Callithrix jacchus: one gene and its partner. The protein of the gene in region 2 purifies or fractionates together with the protein of the main gene of each other region. This does not show direct contact. Links are inferred from orthologs where the notes say so. Each region holds a gene or a part of one and is shown on either strand. Other genes may lie near its edges.

Region 1 (10,808 bases), on a different chromosome or scaffold from region 2:
CCTTCGGAAGGCCTTTGGCGGAGGAGTCCATTCCTGCTGTTCACACATCTGCTGACTTCCCTCCTGTGGCTCTTTCTTTGCGTGTTTCGTTCTTTATGATTGTAAACTCATCTTCAGTGGGCTTTATGGGTAGGAGTTGGAGGGGGCTAGATTGAGAATGTCTATGTGATTTTACTTCTATCACTGTGCCTGCTTCTGTCATGGGCTTTAAGGGTATTACTGGCCTGAGCTCAGGTTTTATATCAAGTTATTTGCTGCAGGGGTGGTAGGGTCTGGACTGTGAAACCTGTGAAAACTCAATACCTAGGCTGGGCATGGTAGCTCATGCCTGTAATCCCAGCACTTTGGGAAGCCAAGGCAGGAGAATTGCTTGAGCCCAGGAGTTCAAGACCAGCCTGGGCAACACAGCTAGACCGTGCCTCAAAAAAGAAAAATTCAGTCTGGGCGCGGTGGCTCACGCCTGTAATCCTAGCACTCTGGGAGGCTAAGGCAGGCAGATCAAGAGATTGAGACCATCCTGCACAACATGGTGAAACTCAGTCCCTACCAAAAAATACAAAAATTCGCTGGGTGTGGTGGTTTGTGCCTGTAGTTCCCAGCTATTTGGGAGGCTGAGATGGGAGAACTACTTGAACCTGGGAGACAGAGGTTGCAGTGAGCCAAGCTCACACCACTGCACTCCAGCCTGGCAACAGAGCTAGACTCCATCTAAAAAAAAAAAAAAAGAAAAAAGAAAAAATCAATACCTGACGTCTAACGAGGCTGTGAGCCCTGATTATCAATTGTCAACAGAACTTTCTGTCTCACAGAACCACAACAGGCAAGCCAACATGGAACCATCGTATCGTCTCCTGTTCCTGTGGGCACACAGCTACTCGTTCACATCTCTCCTGAAGGTGTAGCCCTTTGAGTGCCCTTGTTCCAGTTCCTGCTTCATGTGGGTCCAGGGAGGCCTCATCTCCTTTCCCATGTGAATGTCAAGACGTAGACCCTGAGGCTCCAGACCAACACTCTGCTGGGCAGCTGCCCTCAGGCTCTCACACTTCAGGACCCGGTTTTCAGTTTGTCTCTGGCTCCCGGCACGTCCCTGACCTCCTTGTGAGCTCAGCTCTGCATTAAAAGTTTGTTGTTTCTGTGTTGTGTTCACAAGCTCTGTCCTGGGAGGCTTTTGGGGTCTTAGCACCACAGGGAAAGACAGAAGTGGAAATCTGCTTTTGCACTATTTCTAAGATGAATTTCTAGGCTTGTCTTCAGAACACTTGCCATCCCCCTCTGCTCTGGCTTGAATGACTGTCCTCTCCAAAATTCATGTAGAAGTTTGATTGTCATTGTGACGATATTAATAGGTGGGACCTTCGAGAGGTGATTAGGCCCCGAGGCCTTTGCCCTCCTGAATGGGCTGGTGGGCATGTTATAAAAGGGAGGGTTCAGCCCCTTCTGTTTCTCTCTCTTGCTCAATCATCCTTCCTCTTTGCCCTTCTGCTATTCTGCGACGTGATGACGCCACAGGAAGGCCCTGACCCCTGACGCTGGACCTCCCAGCCTCCTGAACCGTAAGCCAGCAAGTTTCTCCACACTCTAAGTGACCCAGTCTGTAGGAGCCTGTTACAGCAGCACGGAACGGATGAAGACATCCTCTGTATCGTTTTGCAATCCCACGAGACAGGCGTTCTTTTGCATCACTGATGAAACTCGGCCCTGGAGGGCTTAAGTAACAAGGCAGGTCTGTCGGCTTCAGTTCTCGGCTCCCCTGGGCTTCGTGGCGCTTCACAGCTCGCAATCCCCCTGCAGGGCAGATGTGATTTGTCCTCCCATCTTGTGGCTGAAAAGCAAGCCTGTGGCACTTAAACAGGTTACGTGGCAGGTTTCAGCCATTGTACTAAAACATATTTTGGGTAGAAGATGTGGTGTGTATACGCGATGGCTCAGCGGTCAGCCTTAACAAGGAGGACAATTCTGCCACGTATGACAATATGGATGAACCAGAGGGGCATTAAGTGAAAAAGCCAGGCACAGAAAGACAAACACTGCATGATCTCACTTACAGGTGGGATCCACAAAAGTTGACTCACGGAAGCAGAGGGTAGAATGGTGGTTATCTGGGGCCGGGGCTGGGGCTGGGTGGAGATGCTGGTCAAGGGATACATTTCAGCTACATGGAGGAATACGATCAAGGGAGCTATAGTGGGACTTGGTGACTTTAGCTAATAACATGGTGACTATAGTTAAGAACAACATATCTTGTGCTTGGAAATTGCTAAGAGTAGATTTTAAGTGTTCTCACCATCCCAAAAAACAAGTATGTGAGTGAATGCATGCTAATTAACTTGATTTAGCCAGTTCACAATGTATACATAAGTTAAAACAAATTGTAAACAATCAATGTATACAATTATTATGTGCCAATTAAAATAAATACATTTAAAAATATTTTAGGTATTTGTCCATTTTTGTTTCAAGTTTACTTGTTCATCATTTTAGTATGAAAAATTTTTTTTTTTGGCTGGGCGCAATGGCTCACACCTGCAATCCCAGCACTGTGGGGGGGCCAAGGTGGGTGAATTACCTGAGGTCAGGAGTTCAAGACCAGCCTGGCCAAGATGGTGAAACCCTGTCTCTACTAAAAATACAAAAAATTAGGGGGGTGTGGTGACGGGCACCTGCAATCCCAGCTACTAGAGAGGCTGAGACAGGAGCATTGCTTGAACCCAGGAGGCGGAGGTCGCGGTGAGCTGGGATGACGCCACTGTACTCCAGCCCGGGCAACAAGAGCGAAACTCTGTCTTAAAAAAAAAAAGACGACTGTTTTTTTTCTTCCTGTGTGTACATGACTGACAACCCAGTGGTTTCCTTTAATACCTTATCAACATTTCCAGGCACTTTCTGTATTTGAGGTATGTGAATAGGGTGGCCCTCGTCTTGAGCGTGGCACTGAACTGGAGGCCTTTGGCTACACGCCGGAAGCTCTGGGTACTGAGGAGCTTGTCCCCCACTCTGTGCCAGGAATCGGAACGGTGGCCTAGGAGAGTTGGCAGAGGAGGAGGAACCAGACGCAGTGAACTTCCTGGTTTGTCCCAGTGTCAAGCAACTTGGCGTTTTTCTTTCACACGTGGCTGGAACAGAGGAGACTCACAGAAATATCTTCGTTGAATAAATAGAGTCCATTGAAATGGAGTCACATGAAGCAGCATTCATCCATCCAAAACGCCAATGCTTCCTTAGGGTGGGCTGAGTTTTACCCCAACACTAAGTTGTCTCATGTGATGGGCAAAACGACTCACGTGGAAACTGAGGCTGGCTGGGGGAATCCAGGCCTCTGGCATCCTCACCAAGGTAACTCTTGAGCAGCTCCCAGACAGCCCATTGTGTAGGGCAAACACCAGGAGCCCCTCCTGTGTGCAGGTACATGGCAGGCTCAACCATGGCCAGAGGGCAGGCACATGCTCGGCCAAACCCTAGAGGGTGGTGGGCATCTGCTCATCACAGGGGAGGACGGGAGGTGGGAGAGGCAGGTGGGCCTGTGGGGGTTGGGACGAGCTGTGCACATGGCTTGGCACACCCAAAGCTGAGGTTTCTCCTTGGGCAACACAGTCACATGTGAGTGTAGGAATCTCGGCTGGAGTTGCCCAACGTGGGGAGCAGACAGCACTGTAGCCAAAACCGCAGCTGGAGAATGCAGTGCTTGGAACAAGCCAAGCCATTGGGACGGGGCTGGGGCCAAGTAGACATGATAATGCACTAACGAGCAGTGCGGGGGGTAGGCTGTGGAGCGTGATCCTGGGGGAGACGCTGGATCCCTGGCTGGCCTGCATTGCTCTCCAGAGCTTTTAGCTGCCTGTGGAATTCCAGGTGCTCTGCTCCAGCTACTTTCAACGTATAAGCAGGAAGTGGATGCTGGAGAGGAACTGCTCTTCTGGACTGAGCTTGCTGCTCATGGCAGCCCCACCTACAGGGCCCAAAGCCTTATTGATGTTCCTTGCACCTTCCACCACGTGGCTGCCTCTTGAGCTCTGCAAGTGCACCACAGAGCCAGGAATTTCTCCCCAAAAGCCTCTCCATTTTACCCACGACCCCCCAGTAAATCACAACCTGAGAATAGAGTGTCTGCGACCCCCCTGTCCCCAGCTCCCCTGGGGGCAGGGGTTGGCACATCCCTGTGCCCGGCCACTTGCTGCCTCCTCCTGGGCTGCTGGTCCATGCCCAGTGGACAGGAAAGCCCAGCGAGGTCCCTGCCTGTGCACCCCGCCAACCACACTGTCCCCTCCCGGCAGCCTCACCTAGGCCCCTCCAGTGGCGGCCCCTTGTCCCCTGCACCCATGCCTGGCCTTGGAAGTTGCTGCTCACTTTTCTGGAATATTCTTTTCTTAGATCTCTGCAGGACTGTCCCTACCCCTACAAGGGCTCCACACATGTTCCCTCCTTCATGACTCCCACTGGGCTTCCCCGGCAGAGCCCCATGTCTCCAAAGCTCTGGTGACACCTGCCAGGCTTCCTCCAGGCCACAGCTCCGCAGCGCGCGTCTGAAAGAGAATAGGAAGTGGCCCGCAGGGCAGGCTGGCTGAGGGCCCCAGCACTGTCAGCGGGGTCTGAGGTCCTCCCAGCCCTGAAGGGGAAACTGGAGCTTCTCAGGCCAGCCCAGGACGCGTCCTCAGGAACCACAGCAGGTGCCTGGCAGCGGAGAGGAGTCTGCGTCTTTCAGGATCCATACTGTTGTATCCGAAACTATGCAAACACTTCGGGGTGCTCAGAGTAGCCCCGCAGAGGCCCTCCCCACGGGGCGGAGGGAAGCGTCCACTCGCTATCCCTGGGCCCTTGGAGAGTCCGCAGAGGCAGCCCCTGGGGGAGCAGGCCGGGGTCTGGACGTCTCCTGCAGCGGGCGGGGCTTTGCTATTAATCCTTAACCCAAATTATGGAAAGAGGAGCTGAGCTGCCAGGACGCCGGTCGGCTACAAACCCCACTCTTGTTAAAGACAGAGGGGGTCGGGGAGGGGGTTCTCCGGCCCTGAGCTTCCCGGGCCTGGCAGAACGCGGCCCCTCCGGGAGTCCGGGTCCCCGGGCGGGGGAGGCACCGGGGCGAGCGCGCTTCTCCCGGGGCCCCGAGTGCGGCCGGCTCTCGGACGGTAAATTCAGGGCCCGGGTGGAGGCGACGGGGTCCCGCGGCCTCGGTGACCCTGGACAGCAGCGGGAAGAGCGGGACCGCAAGGACAGGCTCCCCGGGGGCGCACGGACCCCGCCGCGCACCGGCTGCAGGGCCAGGCCGCGGGCCGAGGCGCGAACGCGGGAGGCGGCGGCCGGAGGGGCGGGAAGGGAGCGGGGCGGCCCCGGCGCGGAGGAGCGCCATTTACGTTCCGGCCCGCGCCGGGCGCTGACGTGGGCGGCCCGGCCCGGCCGGCGGCGCAGTCCCGCAGGGGCCTCGGGGTGGACGGCCCGACCCTGCCCGTCTTCCTCGGGGACGGGCGGTTTAGAACGTACAGAACTCCGGGCCCCGGGGCTCCGCCGGGCTGCAACCCCGACCAGCTTCCCGCCGGGCTCCCGCCCCGCCCCGCGGCCGCGCCCCGGCCGGGCGGGCCCTGAGCCGCCCGCGTGAGTCCGCCCGCCGCCCGCGCCGGGAACCAGGAGACCAACCGCGAGGCCCCGCCCGCGCGCGCCGCCGTGTCCCCGCCCGCGCGGTCGTCCGAGCGCGGCTCAGCGGCGCGGCGGAGACTCGGCACGGCGGCGGCCAGGCGCAGGCGGGCGGGCGGAGCAGCGGACGGCGCCGAGGCCGCCCCAAGCGCCGGGCTCGCGGCGGCAGAGCGCGCCGGAGTGGTCGGGGCCCGCGGCCGCCCGCGCCTCTCGATGGGCAGCTCGCACTTGCTCAACAAGGGCCTGCCGCTGGGTAAGGCCGCGCGCGCGCGCGTTTCCGGCCGCGGGCGGGGGCGGGGCGGGGCGGAGGCCGCGCGGGCGGGGGACGCGGGGGCGGGTTGAGCGCGCGCCCGCAGGCCGCCGGCTTTGTGTGCGAGTGCGCGTGCGCGCTAGCGCCCGCGCGTAGCCGCGACCGGGGGCGGGACCGCGGGAGGGGTGGTGCGCATGCGCGGACGGCTGCGTACCGGTGCGCGTGCGCGAGCGCCGCTGTCCGCCCGCCCCGCCCGCGGCCCGCGCAGGTGACACAAAGGGGCCTGCGGGCCTCTTGGCTGCCCCGCGGGATCCCCCGGCTCCACTGGCCCTAGGCCCTGGGGACCCGGGACGGCCCCCTGAGTCCCGATCCCCGGCCGCGACCCAGTCCCCAGTCATGACCCCGCGGCTGGGCCTGCGGGGCTGAGGTGTGGGGTGCGCCCTGCGCAGCTCGGGACGTCCTGGGGCGCGCTCCCTGGGCCACTCGCGGGAGCGCGCCCCGCCCGCCCGGAGACCGCCGGCTACGGTGGCGGCGCGCTGTGGGGAAAGAGGACGGGCCCCGGGCGCCTGGTCTGACCGCGGAGGAGGCCGCCACCCTGAGACCGGGCCCAAAGCGCAGCCCCCGGCTGTGACGCGGGAGGGCCCGGGGGTCTCCGTCCCCGCGAAGTCCCGGACCCGCCCGGCGCCCCCACCTGCTCGTGCCTGGTGCCGCCCTGGTCCTCGGGCGCCTTCCCCGCGGGCTGCGGAAGCAGGGAGCTTGGGCGGGAGCCGGGCCCGCAGGCATCGCCATCTTGCAGTGCCCGCGTTCTGGGCCGGCCCGGGCCGCTCCGCGGAGCGTCTGCCCCCACCTCCGACTCGGCTGCAAAGGCAGAGCCCGTGCGCCTGAGCCGCGGGCCGGGGCCGGAGCCCTGCTGCTCTAGTCTGTGTGATTGCCCGGACAGAATCCCTTCCAGTGGGGAAGAGGGAGGGCGGGCGCGCTGTTCCCGGTGCTCCGAGCTGGGGAGGGGAACCCTGAGAGCCGGGGTTACAGGGCCCGGCGTCTGGCCGAGGCGGCGGGTGCGCAGGGTGCCCCGTCCAGCTCCGTGGAGCACGGGCCCCCCGAGTCCTCTCCACCGTTTGCGAAGGAGCTCGGCAAGGGGCGCACGTTCCTCAGGGAAAGAAAGGCGCTGGCGGCTGGGCCCGCACCTCGGCTGTCCCCGCTGAGCTAGCGCGGTGACCCCGGCCTTCCCGGCCTTTCCCGGCCAGGGGGTGGCCTCTGCGCGTCCGCGTCTCCAGCTGCGACTTGGGACGGTGTTGGGGCAGCACCGTGGGGAACTATTTGCCGTTGCAGCTGAGGATGACAGCTGCGGTTTGTGGGACCCCTTTCTCTGTCCTGGAACCTCGTTGGGCGTGGCTCTGCCCTGGGCCTCAGCAGCAGGCCTCCCGGGTCTCCCCTGCGGGCCCAGGCCTGGCCACCACCTTCTGGGGTCCGGGCTTGGCGCCTGGTTGCTGCTGTCGGCTCTGCAGACGCCTCTTCCTCTCTTGGTTCTGTCGTCCATTTTTGAGCACCTGCTTCTGTCCTCGGGTCTCCAGAGCTCTGGAAGGGACATGCACCCGGGGCCGCGTCTAGTCACTCCTGGTGGTGCCTCGTCTGCCTTCCTGGCCATTTTGGGGTGTCTGCCATGTCCCCAACGTGCACTTCATCCTGTCAGCTTTGACAAGAACAGTGATGAGTTCTGAGAGGTGGGCGTGTGGTTGGGGATGTCAGTGTGGGATCTTCCCTTCTACACGTTTGTCATTAATCTGAGGATATAGCAGTAGGGGGGGGCGGGGGGGGCTTGGCCCCGGGTGCACAGGACGGGGACTGGTCTTGTCCCTGTACTCAGTGGGCTGAGCCTGGGCCCAGTCCTGTGGGCTTGGGCTGCCCCGGCCAGGCTGGCCCTTCCTGCAGTGCTCTGTGCCCTGCTGTGCCCTGGTACTCCCCATGCAGTGCCCGAGTCAGCATGTGCCCTGTGGGGTGTTTACCTCGGGTGACTCTCCTTCCAGAAGAACTTGTTTTCCACTCCACTCGGGGCTGGAGAGGCTCTGTGTAGGTGGTGCTGATGGGGTGCAGGCTTGGCTCAGGGCCCAGGGGTGGCCAGGAGGTGGTGGAGGCTGCAGGGGCTGCTGTGGGGGTTCTGTGGTTGAACTGCATAGCTTGAGGGAACACTGGTCAGAGCGCAGGGGTCCTCTGGTGGGCAAAAGCTCTGTGCGAGGAGCCTCTGGTCCCCCGGGTCCTCCATTGTCTGCTGCAGTGGCCAGAGCCCACTGCTGTCCTCCCCCCGACTAGGTCGGGGTAACCTACAAGGTGCCACCTATGTCACTTGACTGTCCCTTCCGGCAGCCCTTCAACCACACACTTAACGTGGTATCTCCCATGAGAAAATGTTCATTTTTTCCTGTGAATCCAGAAATCTCTTAGATTGTTCTTTGTCAAGCCAAACACTGACCTTGAGTTGTCCCTCTGGGTGGCCCCAGGCGGTGCCAGCTTGTAGGTGTTGAAGGAGAGGGAGGATGGTCCAGAGGAAGCCCAGTAGGTCCAGGGTTGGTTTGGATGGGGAGGTTTTGGGGCTGTGGCCCTGAGAGGCGTGGGACCAGGCCCCTTCTGCACCCTCCCCTGGCACCGCCATCAACTCCCCAGGCCTGATGTGGCCCATGCCGCCCTGGCCTGCCGCCCATCTGTGGTATGCGGGCTGCTAGGCTGCCCCGTCTGCCTGGCTGGTATGAGCCTGAGGCATCTGAGACTGCCTCTCAAGCAGTATGGTGTGTAGAATGTCCTGTTGGGAAGGCCAGAAAGGGGGTAGCCCAGCTGCCCCACACGTGGTAGGAGCTGGGAAGGTGGCGTTCTGGGGGATCCTGGAGTTCACAAGGTGTCTGCATGTGCTTGCTGAATAAACATGGGAACGTGCGAATCCACGGAAGTCCTGGAGAGGAGTCTCGGTGGCAAATTCGTGCCTCTGATTACAGCTCCTACTCTGCGATCTCTGAGCTGCGATGTGGCCCCACAGGCCCTGTGGAGCACCGTGGCTCCCTGGCTCACAGGATGCTGTAGTCGGAGGTGCTGCGTCGGCCCATGGGTGGCAGGCGGTGTCTGTCTGGGGGAAGTTCTGGTGGCCCCATGCTGCTGTGGGGCTCCCTCTTGGGGGACTGGCCTTCTCTGTTATTACAGGGCAGGGACTCAGTCCCCTCGGGGCAGCAGGTGGCTGCATCTTGGGGCTGGAGGGCTCTGGGTCAGGCTGTGTGCAGCCTTTGTCACTGTCAGCCCCTGCCTGGGCAGCTCAGCCTGGACAGCCAAAGGCGGCATCTCACCAACGCCCAGGTGGCTGTGCCAGGGGACTCACGGCAGGACAGCTTTGTCACGAGAAGGCCACTTGGGGCAGTGCCAGACTTTTAGCCCAGAGGCATCAGGGCTTATGGGGACAAGGCAGGGTGAGGGCTGGCGAGACTGCCAGCCCAAGGGTGCCCTTCTGGAGGTTGGGGAACGTCTTCCTGGGCAGCAGCTTTAGTGGCCTCTGTGGGGAGGGGGAAGAAGATGGGGTTGGTGAGGAAGGGCCTTGGGGACTCATTCTGGTAGAGGCCGTGGGGGAGGGCAGGGGACTGGTTGGCCTAGCAGGGCTGGAGGGACTTGGAGGGTTGGTGGCTGCTGAGGCTGGGTCTCAGCAGGCCGGGATGGGGCCAGGCACTGAGACTGGGGAAGGAACAATGCTGTTGTGGTGAGTTTGGACAGCTGAGTCCGACATCTCATCAGAGCTGCAGGAGGAGAGAGAAGCCAGCAGGGGACCCCCAACCCCAAGTCCTACCTGAGGGGACTGGCGCAGCCTGGGCTGGAGATGACCCCAAGCAGGTGCTTGGTTCTGGCGCATCTTGGGGTCTCCTGGGACTTCCTGCAAACCCAGTGCCCAGAGACCTTCTGTGGCTGTCCGGCGGGGGGGCAGGTCCCAGCCTGTGGTGACCCCGGTGTGCAAGGAGCTACCCTGGTCCCTCTCCAGAGTGGACTGATGCCCGTTGCACACGTGACTTAGGGCCGAGGGGGCAGGTGTGGCCAACAGGAGGAGGATCCAGAGACGGCTTCGGCACGTGGTCTGGTGGCACTGGGGTCATCAGGCCGCCCCTGTGCAGCCTCCTGGGACTTGATGCCTCCGGAGACCCTGGGGGTTGTTGCCTCTCACCTTAACCTCGTTTTCTTTAAAAGAAATTTTTATGTTAGAATAGTCTGAGATTTGCAGGAAAGTGAGGAAGCTAGCACAAGCTTCGGGTGCGCCCCACACTCAGTTTCCCCTGAGGGTCCGTTCAGGGCTTTCTTACAATGTGAGGTTAAGTGGAAGGAGGCCCCGGCATCTGCAGGATGTGAACCTGGAGACTGTCCTTGCGTTGCTGAGCTGAGAGCTATGTGTGGCTGTGAGTTTTTAATAAGGAAAAGCAGTGTGGGTCCTGGGTTTGGATGGCACAAGCCCCTCTGGGAGCTGTGTGCCTTCATCTCAGAGCGTGTGAGGGAGGTACAGGCCAGGAGCCCTTGACTCCCAATTGGCCAGCTAGGAGGGCTGTTGGGAGGCCAGCTCCCTGGCATGAGGTGCCCAGGGCCTCCAGACATTGCACTGGGTGGGAGCTCTGGGACTCGGAGGCTGGGTGTCAGTGTGGAAGGTTCGGCCTGGCAGGGGGCTGCTTTGTGGGTGCACCTTGGTCCCAGGGTAGGGCAGAGGGTGGGCAGACCTCCCCCAAAGTTAAGGACAGATCTCGCCCCAGGGCGGTTTCCAAGACAGAGGCCCCTGGAGGAGAACCAGGTACTGGGCCTCAGGTGTCTCTCCTGAACCGGGGCAGCCTTGGAACATGGAGCCGCAGGAGGTCCCTGTGGCACAGGGTGTAGCCCCTCATCTCTGACAGGGCCGGCCCAGGGAGCACAGGGCCACAGGAGCCCTGTT
Region 2 (10,808 bases):
GGTTCAAGCTGGGGCTCTAGAGGGGCGGGCGCCGCTCCTGTCGGGCCAGGGTCTGGGGCGCCGGCTGCGCGGTGGAGAGGCGGGCGCTGCTCGCGCGGCGCGGTAGTTGGCCGCGACTTTGTGCGCCGGGAGCGGGAAGTCGGCCGCGACCACCGGCCGGCCCGGGGCCCCCAGATCCCGCTCCCCAACCCGGCCGCCGCAGTCTGCAGTCCTCGGCGGCCAGAGTCTGCGCCACGGCGAGGCCCCAGCCAGCTGGCTTCGCTGCGAAGTTTCTTTCCCGCACGGGGAAGTCGCCCGAGCTGCTCCCGGTCCTCCCGCGCGGGCGCCGGGAGCTGCAGCTTCCAAGACTTGTTACACGGGTTTGATTCAAAACCTGATAAATTGTATTTAACGCTATTTGAAATTTTTAAACGAAATTATTCAAAAGATTTTTAATCCTGGATAATTTTTGTTGAAACTCTAATTATACATCACCTTAATTACCAGCCCCAGCCCCCCAAGGATCCCTAATTGCCTCCTAATTGAATAAAACAGGGGGCTAATCGGGCCCTCCGCAGCCCAGCAAGCTGCCACCAGCCTGGCCTCCCCTGAGGGTCCCGGTGGGGGGAAGCCCCTGGCTGCCCGGCCACCATCACCCAGCCTCCCAGCAGAAACGGCAGACCTGGTCCCCTGCCCTGCGCACTGCCCAGAGGAGGACTCAGGAGCCGAGGAAGCCTTGGAGCCAGGAGGGGCCAGGAGGGGCCAGGAGGGGCCAGGAGGCTGAGTGCCACCTGCTCTGGAGTGCCGCTCACAGGACAAGGAGGGCGGCCCCGGGTGGGAGTCTGGTGGTCGGCGAGCCCAGGGCAAGGCCAGCGCCTGTCCCCAAGAAGCCCACCCAGCAGTTGCTCCACAAGCCAGCTTGGCAAGCCCCCTCCTGCCAGCTTCGGAGCCACAGCACACCTGCCCGCCGGGAGCAGAGGGAGGGCCTGCGGCGGCACAGTCCACTGCAGCGGGGCATCAGGCCCTGGCGGCCAGCCCTGCACTCCACCCCTCCACTCTCCACCGCGGCCTCTGTTTTCGTCCGAAGCGGGGCAAGACGCTGGACTCTGCCGGAGGCTTCCTGGCGCTGCTGCCCTAACCGGCCTCCTGATAGAAGGCAGCCGTCCTGGCTCTTGAGAGGGGACTAGAATAAGGGACTAATTTCCCCAGGGAGGGTGGGAGAAGGGACGGCCCAGCCAGCCGGGCCTGTTTCTGCAGGAAGAAGGAAGGAGGCTGTGAGCTGGGCCTCCAGCCCCACTCACCTCTACCCTGTCTCAAGCACACCTTCCACACACAGCACCCTCAAACACAAGCAAGACACTCGCAGTCCCACAGCAGGTGGGGGGGGGCTGCCGCTCCCCCACCCCAGGGGCTAGATGGCAGTTCTGGAGCGGACACTCCCCCAGCCCTGGGGTATGCAGCGTCTAGGACCAGGTCTGTCACCTAGATGGGGCTCAGGCCTCAAGGGGCAGCTCTGATGGGGGCGCTGGCTGACCCTCTCCCAGGCCACATCTTCCACCTGCACAGAGGGCCCCCCCAGCACTGGCGGAGATGACAGTTGGGAGGGTATCTTGGTGGTGCTAACACCCCACCTGCCCACCTGAATCAAAACAGCCCTGGAAACAATGAGCTTTTGTTAGGCATTTAGTTTGTAAACCTGGGGCCACCGAGGCCACTTCATCACCGGACTGCAAGGAGCTGGCTTCAGTAGGGGGACCCTGTCCCTTGAACTGTCCTTATTCTGCTCCTAGCCCCCAGGCTCAGGTGGAGGAGGCTGTGGGTTTCCCATCAGCTGAGCCACAGCCCCAGCCTGAATACCCCCGTGGCCACCTCTGTCCTTGGAAAGCTCAGCTGGGAGCCCTGGTCACCCCCAGAGCTGCTACCATTCAGCCCCTCATAGGACCAGGAGGAGCGACCCACTTGAGCTGAGGCCTGGATGGGGGTCTCCAGAGAAACACAAACGAAATTACAGCCCCAGATGCACACGCCGGGGTGGCCCCCGAAACGCTGGGTCATGGAGTCACCTCCGCTGGCCTGGTTGTTTTCTGTACCCAGGCTGAACACCAGCCTGGTAACCGTGACCTTGCTCCTGGCCCACCCCGCAGTTTCCTAACCTGGTCGGTATTGTGGGGAAGGGAGGACCGGCTGGCCGGAGTGCGGGCCCTACTGCCTCCAATTCAGGTAATAGTGACTGTGGTCCCAGGGGAAGTTAACATCTGCTTAAAATATCGGCTAATGAAATGAAATTCTTCAGCGGATCCCGCCTTGCTCAGGGCAGGCAATGTGATCTGTACCTGGCTCAGCCACCTTGGGGGCCCTGAGGACAGCGGTCCCAGCTGTGGACCCCGGAAGGAGGGGTTCCCTGCGGCGCTCAGCCAAGTGTGGACGCAGGGCCGAGGCCTGGCAGTCACCTCCCAAGGGGTTTTCCTCACTAAAGACTCTCGGGAAAAGGAAGCTAGCGCTCGGCGCTCCCGTTGGGCCCCGCTCTCCGGCCTCCGGGCCAGGCAACCACGGCCGCCAGACACCAGTTCTGGTCCTGAGCAGACCCAGTCCCCGGCAACCTTCCCCACCTGGCAGAGGTGGGGCCGGCGGGGAGCTGGGGCCAGGCGGGCGCCGGGCGCGCAGGGGCCTCTCGGAAGTTTCCGGGGCCGCGCGGGTGCGCCGAGTCGGCCTCTCGCTTGCAGCGAAGGCCCGGCGACAGCGCAGCGGCTTTCCACTTTCTCACTCCAGCTTTGGGTCCTGCCGGGGCTAGGGCCTGACCTGGCGGCCCGCAGGCAGCCGGGTGGTCCAGACTCTGAGAAGGCCCGCGGTGCAGAACCGAACCCGAACACGCACACGCACACCCCACGCGCGGAGGGCCCGCAGCGCCCTGCACAGACAGCCCCTGCGCGCGTCGGTCGCGAAACGCTGGGCCTTGTTCGCACCAAGAGGGGTCAGAGGTCACGGGAGGCCGAGGCCAAGGGCACCCGGCAGCGGAGCCCGGCGGGGAGGGGGCGCCTCACCGAGGGGCCGCGGGCGGCCGACGGCGGAGCGCAGGGGCGTCCGGAACAACTCGGAGCTGCTTTTCCCAGCGCGCGGAGCGCGGGGCCTACGGCTGCGGGGCCGCTGTTGGGACGAGCCGGGCGGATCCAGAGCCAAGGGAGTGGAGCTTCGGGAAACCGCCGCCAGCCCCGCGCTCACCCCGGCTCACGTTTGGGGGTTCGGCCCTGGGTGGCCGCGAGGCCGGCCTGGCGGGACCCGGCCCCGGAGGCGCGGACGGAACGGCGTGGGTCGGGCGGGGACCTCGAGAGGAGAGACGCGGGCGCCTCTGCGGCGGGTGGGCGGGCGGCCTGCGGGGGGGGGGGGCTGCGTGAGCGGGCGGCGCTGGCCGCTTCGCTGCAGCCGGGGCATCCTCGGGGCTGCGGGAGCCGCGCTCGCCGGGCCGCGGCGCCGCCCGCCCCCACCTGCCCGCTTCGGCGGCCGCAGCCCCCGGCCCCGCGGGCCCACAGCGGATGGCGCCGGCGGCCGGGGCGCGGGGTGTGCGCGGGCTGCTCGGAGGCGCGGCTGCAGCGGGCGAGGGCGCGGGCGGCGGGAGCACCCGGCTCGCGGGAGGGACCGGCTGGCGGCAGGCAGGGCGCGCGGAGCCCGGGGCTCGGCCGAGACGGAGCGAAAGAGAAAGTAAGACCAAGGACCAGGCAGTGCGGCCGGGGACAGTCGCCGCCGGGCCGGGCTGTGCCAGGCAAGCGGGTGCGGAAGGCTCCCCGCGGGCCGGAGGGCGGTCGCGGCGGGTCGGGAGGTGGCGGGTGGGAACCCTCCTGTCGGCCGCACGGCCACCTCGGCTGCCCACGCGGGCTGCCCGCGTCCCCGAGGAGCGCCCTCCACCACCACGCGGGGCACCGCCGGGGCATAAACTTCACTGCCGCAGTTCCCAGCCCGGGCAAAAGTCTCCATTTTGCTCCCCAAGCGGCCGTTTCTGCCGTCGCCGCCCCTGCCCCTGAGCCCGCGGAGCCGGGTGGGCGCCGGCCCGCGCCCCCTCCTCCGCCCCTCCCCGGCTCGGGGTCTCCCTCCTCTGCGCCCGGCTGGCGGACGCCAAAGGCGGTGCTCTAGCGCCCACTATTTCAAAAGCCCGGAATATGATTTGACCAGGACTGAGAGCCACTGGGAGAGAGAGAGAGGGAGAGAGCGAGCGGGCAGGAAAAAGTTGCTCTCCCCTTTCGTCAACTTTTCGCTAACTTTCGCTTTTCGCTCCCCTCCACCCCCGGCCCTCCCCCTCCGCCCCCCTCCCCGGCCCCCACCGCGCGCCTCGGGTTCCCGGGCCCGAGCGCCTGACACTGTTGGGGGGGAGGGGGTTCGGCGGGGAGGGGGCCGGCGCCTTCGGGGAGCGCGCGGCCCGGGCGCCCCGAGCCTCCGCGCCGGGCCCGGTCGCCCCGGAGCGCGGGAGGCGGAGCAGCCCCCCGGGCCGCGCGGCCGAGCCGGGGGCCCCGAGCCGCAGGCGCGCGGGCCGCGCCCCGACGCGCACCCCTGGCCCGGGCGCCCGGGCCCGGCGGCCCGGGCCCGGCGGCGCGGCGCGGCCGAGCGCGGGAGACTTACTTTTGGCTAGCTTCCTCGCCCTCGCCTTGGATCGCATGGTGTCGGCTCGCGGAATCCCTCTCCTCCTCCTTGAGTCCAGAAGCAGCCACACACTATCTTCATCTCCCCAGCATTGTCAGTTTGGACACCTTCGCACATGCGCACAGAGCACTCAATCTGACACCCCTCGCCGGGGCCAAAAAAACTTTGCAATGTATTCATCATCCTCATCGTCGCGCCGCCGCCGCCGCCTCGGCGCGGGATTGGGGGGCTCTCCTCGGCCTTCCCGGTCTCCGTCTCACTTCTCTCTCCCCCTTCTCCCCCCCTTTTCAGCGCAGCTCGTAACTGGCCCTTTAAGAAAACATTCCGTGCTGGGCGCTCCCGCCTGGGGCCCGCACCCCGGACACTTTAAAAGGACCCAGGTGGCCCCGGAGGCGAGGTGACTATCCCCCCCACCCTACCCCTGCCTCGCGTCGGGTCGCGCTGCGGCTCGCACCCCAGCCGGGGCCGAAGACTGGGTGGCGGCTGCGGTTTTCCACGCGACTTCCTCGGATCTCCGGGCACGCGCGCCGAGAGTTCGGACGAGGGTCCGGGCGGGTTTTGCTGCGTTTTACTGCATTTTATGACTAATTAAAAAGCTTGGCGTTCCCCGTCGCCCTGGCCCGCTTTTCTCCCGTCCACTCTCTCCCCTCGGCCCCCGTCCCCGCCCTGCGATCGCCGGAGGGAGCGTCGGGGTTCCGGCGCCAGAACCCGGCTCCTCCGAAGCCCCCTCCGGGCCCCGCCGCCCCCCTCGGGCCTCCGGGCCCCCGCCTCCTCCCCTTCGCCCCCACCCAACGGCTGCTGCTTCGGGCTTCGCGGCTCAAAAACAACAGCGGAGGCGCCGCCAGCTCCGCGCTCCGCCACTGCCCAGGGCGGGCGGCACTCAGACCCGCCGCCCTCGGTCCTGCCCGGAGCTGCGGAGTCCAACAAGCCCCGCGCGGGGGCACAGCGCGGGGGCGGCGGTCCGAACACCGGGTGTCCTCGGCAGATCGACCCGCCCGCGCGCTCCTGCCGCTGCACCCCCGCTGAGCTCCGCCGCGCCCCCAGGTGAGTGACTGGCTGCGCGAGCGCCGGAGCTGGGCCACCTTCGGGGACCCGGGCCTCTGGGAACGCTCCCCTCTGAGCTCTCGGGCCCAGGTGCGTAGGGGGCGGAAGGGCAGGCAGCGCAGGTGGAGCAGCGCCGGCGGGAGCGGAGCAGGCGCTTCCTCTGCCCCTGCAGCCCCCAAACTCCGAGGCGCCGCGGAGGAGGGGCCGGGCTGGGTGCACGCAGGGTGGCCCCGGCCCAGGAGCCTGGCGGCCTGAGTGCCGATTTCTCATCTGAGAATCTGGGAATCGAGAATGAACTGGAAGGAAACCGAGTCGCTCCCCCGACTGAGTCGCTCCCCCGCGCGCCCTCCTAGAGTACCGAAGTCCTGCCCGGCCACGGGTCGGGGAGCTGCCCCAGCGTCAGCTTGAGCCCGGAGCAGGGGTTGAGCCCGCGGTACGGGGGTCTCTCCGCCTCCCCGAGAGGCTCCTGCCGTGCCCTCCCTGCCCTTTGTTGTGTAATGAGACCTGTGGCGGCTCCACTGAGACCCACACGTGCAACTCCACGCCTCTGCGTTAAAGGAGGTGAAACGCAGCGGCCCTGAGAACCCCTGAGACCCGGGTGTCTTAGCAGAGGCGCCCCGGATGGGGAGGGGCGCGGGGCCGGCGCTACCCCAGAGGAAAAGCCCAGCAGAGCCGGGCTTGGCCGCAGCCGGCAGCGACGGTGCGCCAGGCCTTCTGTCCTGGATCCTCCGCAGTCGGCACCGCTTGCCCGCTCGGATTCGAACCCCGATGCGGCTCTCACGGGTCCAGGGTGCCCAGTCCTGGAGCCAGCTCGCCGCCGGAGCCCCTGCCGGAGGAAGCGCTCCCTAGTCGCTGCGGCTGTTTCTGGCAAAAGGTAAGTGTCGTCCAGAGAAGGGCCTTCAGCAATGGCACAGCCCTGGTCCCTGCCATCCTTCCGAGGGTCTATCGACCTCCCCACACCCTGACCATCTTTCAACAGGGTCTGGACCACAGAACAGCTGTGTTTACCGCCCGACCCAGCTCTGGAGGTCTTGCTCTGCCTCGCAGGCTAGGGCACCACTGTAGCCCTAGATGGCCAAGGTGGGCTCTGAACCTACTCACCCGAGTGCAGGGGAGGTGCTGGAGCCCAGGAACACAGGCTCTGTCCTGCCTAAACCCCGCCAAGGGCAGGCTTCCAACCGTGGGCCCAGCCTGGCTGGAGCTGCTGACTATGAAGGACTCAAGGTCACTCCCATACTCTGCACCCCAGATTCCTGCCTGCTCCTGCCTGAAGCCTCCGGAGCCCTGGGGTAGTTACCGTGGTGCCTGCGAAGCGCTCCCACCTGCAGAGAGGGTCATTTACCCCACCCTCACCCTGCAGCCCAGCAAAGGCCCCCTTTTCCCCTGCCCCAGAGGTTGCCAACAGATGCCAAGGTTGCATATCCCTGGTGCTCTTGGGGTGCCCCAGCTCTCTCAGTCCTTCTCCCTGCTCCCTCCTCCAGCTCAGGAGGTGATTCTCAGAACCCTGGCCAGGCTGGGGCAGGACAGCTGTCCCTGGCACTGTTGGCAGGGCCTGGGGAAGAAGGGTGGGAGGTGTGGGAGCAAACTACTCTGTGCCCTCTGGTCCCTGCCCTCTGCCAAGCTGTGGGGTAGGGATGGGGTCACGCTTCTCTGGTTCTGCTGCTGGTAAAGGCTGGCCAGGGAGATGGTCGAGAGCCCACCCACAAGGTGCCCAAGCAGCCCTGGCTCCAGTGTCTCCCAGTGTGCTGGAGGAGCCCAGGCAGGCTGTTCCCAAGGCGGTGGCCCTGGCTGAGGTTTCGTCCTGGTCTGACCAGGCCCTGCCCCCACGTGGCCACACTCAGAAGCGGAGAGCAGGTCAGGCGTTGAGGAGTCCCATGGGGAGAAAGGGTGAAACCGGGAAGGGTAGATGTAGGTCCTCCCTGGGGTGCAGTTCCGTGTCCCTGCCTGGCAAGGGCTTTGGGGGGCTTGGGGAACAAGTAGGGCAAGTGGAGGCCCAGCGGGAAAAAGGTTGATACTAGAAGGTTTGAGGGCAGTTTTCAAACCAAGTCCAGCTCTGTAGAGCCTTGGGGCTGATGCCAGGTCCTGGGACCCTGTGCTGGGACTGTAAGTGCGGTGGGCTCGTTCCCAGTGACCTCCTTGGCTTGTCCAGACAGTGAGTGTGGGTTGGCCACATAGAGGCTCCTACACCGGACAACGGCATGCTGCTGTCAAGTTCCAAAACCAACTTCATAGCTGGGGTCTAGGAGGCTAGAGAGGGGCTTTTACCTCCGACTTCTGCTGGGGCTGGGCAGAGAGAGAACCCATGGAAACTCCATTTACCCACGAGCCCTGCAGACCCCCAGTGCTTCCAGTGCCTGGAGACCCATGAGCAGGTGAATTCCTTAGGGTAAAGGCCAGGCTCGAAAGCCAGAAATGCTGGTCCTGCAGTGCTGGAGGAAGTGTCTTACTAGACAGCCGTAGGAGGACCCCAAGCCCCAGGGGTTCCCCAGAAACCCACTGAGCAGCAAAACTACCGCGAGGGCCCGCCCTGCACTCCCAGAGTCTACAAATGCATTCAGGGCTAGAGGGCTCCTTGGCTTGGCCAGGCTTTGTGCCCGGTGTGAACTGGCAGGGTCAGAGCTGCCCCAGCTGCCCGTCGCAGCCCCTCAGGCCCCAGGGAGCCCTGCTTTGGGCTGTGTGTGCAGGGCAGGAGTGGGCAGGGTGCCTGGCAAGGTGGACTGACCTCATCCGTTCTCATCCCTTTCCCTCCCGGTCCTCTGTGCTTTTTGAATTTGGCTGTAGTCTTTCAGACACTTGGCCTCAGGCTCTGTTGAATTCCAGGGCCAGTTTTACTCACTCCTCATCCCCACCTTGTTCCTTTAGGAAAAACTCCGGGTAGCAAAGAAGCACCTATCCTCTAGTTTCCCAACTGGCTTTCCTGGGAGATGGGAAATGCCCCAGGAGGAATCCAGATGGCCAGCACTCACCCCACCCCCATTACCTGGGCCACTGAGTCAGGCCAGGATGAGGCTGTGGCTCTCTCAGCCCATTCTCCTGCCCCACACTTGGTGGGAATGTCTCCCAGACTTGAGCAGCAGGAGGTGGGAGACCACAGGGCCCTGAGGATGGGTGACTCGGCTCCCACAAGCAGAGGGGACGTGGAGGAGGGCCGCTGGACCCCACACCTAGCAGGGGACTCGATGGGGGCTGAGTGCTGGAAGGAGCCTGTGCTTGGTCTAGAATGGCGGGTGTGTGGGGGAGAACAGGCCAGCAGAAAGGTCATTTCTTCCTTATTCAGGCCTCTGGAATGACCCGAAGTGGGCGCTTTCTCCAGCATCATGCCTGAGGATGATGAGGCCACAGGAATCCCCCCAGACCCTGGGGTCAATATTTCAGGGCTCCTCTTCACCTTCCTCCCACCCCAGGCCTGGGAAATCTTCCTGTGCACCAGAGTTCTTGGAGAGGACAGGGCACAGTTCCCAGTTCTGGCCCAACGGCGGCAGGGCTTGGTTCCCTGTGGCGCTCAGAGGTGGGGGCCTCCCAAAGCCGATACCTGATTCCTGTTCCCAGATTGGGGAACTGGGAGGAGTGAACTTCCTAGGAATGTGAGCCATGTCCCTGATTTCCAACAAACCCCAGATGTGTGGAAACGATGTCTTCTGAGTGCAGAGGGAGCCTTGTCCCTTGCAGATGGGCTGCTTCCGGGGACTGCCAGGGCCGTGGCAGGCACCATGCTGTGGCCACCCCAGTGGAGTCCCTTTGCCCGCTTCGTGTCCCGGCATCCCCACTAGGTGCCTGGCTCTTCTGTGCAGGTGTCGGGGTGTCTGGAGCCCCGAAGTTTTTGTTTTGTTTTGTTAGAGGTGGAGATGGTGAACCTGAACTCCCTGGGTCTCCGCCCGTTGGGGCAGGAGGGAGCCTAATCCAGGCTTAACCGGGCTCACTGAGAAGGTGCAGGAAGCGCAGAACGACTCCCGCCCGTGTGCGGCCCACATTGGGCCAGGGCGCTGCCGCTGGGTGTCTGCAACCGGGAGCGTCCCGGCCGCTGGAAGGATACAGGGAATCGGTTTCCCACGCTTTCCCTGTTGATCTCAGAACCTTTAAAAAGCCGCCAACGAATGCCGTTGCCCGGATGCGCTGAGTGTGCCCTGAGCCGTGTGTTCACGCGCGCCCGCAGCCGTGGAGTGGGTCCCCTCCTGCCACCTGCCGCCCCGGGGCCGCCGGCCTGCGCTGGCCCGGGAGGAGCAACTTCGTTACCCACAGCGCCCGCGTCCTGCGGCCGGCGGGGAGCTGCGCGCCGCGGAGGTGGCACGGACCGGCTCCAGAACGCTGCCTGCATGGACGCGGCCGCTGCCTTCAGCTCCCAGTTCTGGCCGCGCGTGGGCAGCAACGAAATAGCGAGCCTCGCAGCCTTCCGGGCCCGGCGGCCGCATTCCGGGAGTAGCCAGGTGGGATCCCGCCTTCCGCTTCCCCAATTGCCCAGAGCCCAGGACAGGGGCGGGCGGCCAGGTCACCAAGCGGGTTTCCTGAATTGGCTGGCTCGGGAATCCACATTCGGCTTGCAAGGCCCCCTCCTTCCGTCCCTCCGCTGCGCTCCTTGCCCCACTCTGCCCGCCCTCTTAGCTTGAAAACCAAATTTTGCCTTTGACCCTGCGAGATTAATACCCCACAAGTGAAACCGTGGAGACCGAGCTGCGGTGGATTTCTTCCCCACGCCTCGGTTTCCTCGTCTGTGAAATGGGGCCAGGCGCGCCTGCCTCCTCCAGGGGGTTATTGCAGGGCTGGCTGGGGAGAGTGGCTGGATGGAAGCCGCCAGGCGAAGGCCCAAGGCCGCCCATCCCGTGGGCCTCGTTTGCTGAGCGGGGTCAAAGGCCTGCGGGGCAGGGCGTGCCCCACCTGGGCTCCAGAGCCAGCCGCCTGTCCGGGTCTCCTCCCCTCACTCCCGGTCCCCTGCCCCTCCTGGAACTCTCCTCACCCGCTGGGTGAAGGAGGAGGGAAGGCCGACTCCTCCGCCCTGGGGTCTCCATCCTAACCCTGCCGCAGAGTCTGGCCCACCCTGGGCTTTCCTCTCCAGTCTCTTTGGGTCTCCAGAAGCCTGGAGGTTTCATGCAGACCCGAACCTGATATGGCACCACCCAACATCCCAAATCCTGCAGAGGGTGGAGAAGATTTGGAGAAGA

What was found.
Region 1: the proteins of PRDM16 (region 2) and CTBP1 purify together in Homo sapiens (affinity purification with mass spectrometry; 3 studies listed by BioGRID and IntAct, with this or other methods). This does not show direct contact. The link is inferred for Callithrix jacchus from reciprocal best matches to the Homo sapiens genes PRDM16 and CTBP1.

Annotation. Positions count from the first base shown.
Region 1 is NC_133504.1:191,920,626-191,931,433, forward strand, and holds the start of CTBP1 (C-terminal-binding protein 1), read left to right. Parts: upstream 1-4,472; 5' UTR 4,473-4,664; intron 4,665-4,668; exon of another isoform or gene 4,669-4,706; intron 4,707-4,918; exon of another isoform or gene 4,919-5,120; intron 5,121-5,660; exon of another isoform or gene 5,661-5,835; coding exon of another isoform or gene 5,836-5,875; intron 5,876-6,110; exon of another isoform or gene 6,111-7,593; intron 7,594-10,808. UniProt on the Homo sapiens protein: Corepressor targeting diverse transcription regulators such as GLIS2 or BCL6. Has dehydrogenase activity. Involved in controlling the equilibrium between tubular and stacked structures in the Golgi complex.
Region 2 is NC_133508.1:40,952,899-40,963,706, reverse strand, and holds the start of PRDM16 (histone-lysine N-methyltransferase PRDM16), read right to left. Parts: upstream 4,682-10,808; 5' UTR 4,625-4,681; coding exon 4,588-4,624; intron 1-4,587. UniProt on the Homo sapiens protein: Binds DNA and functions as a transcriptional regulator. Displays histone methyltransferase activity and monomethylates 'Lys-9' of histone H3 (H3K9me1) in vitro.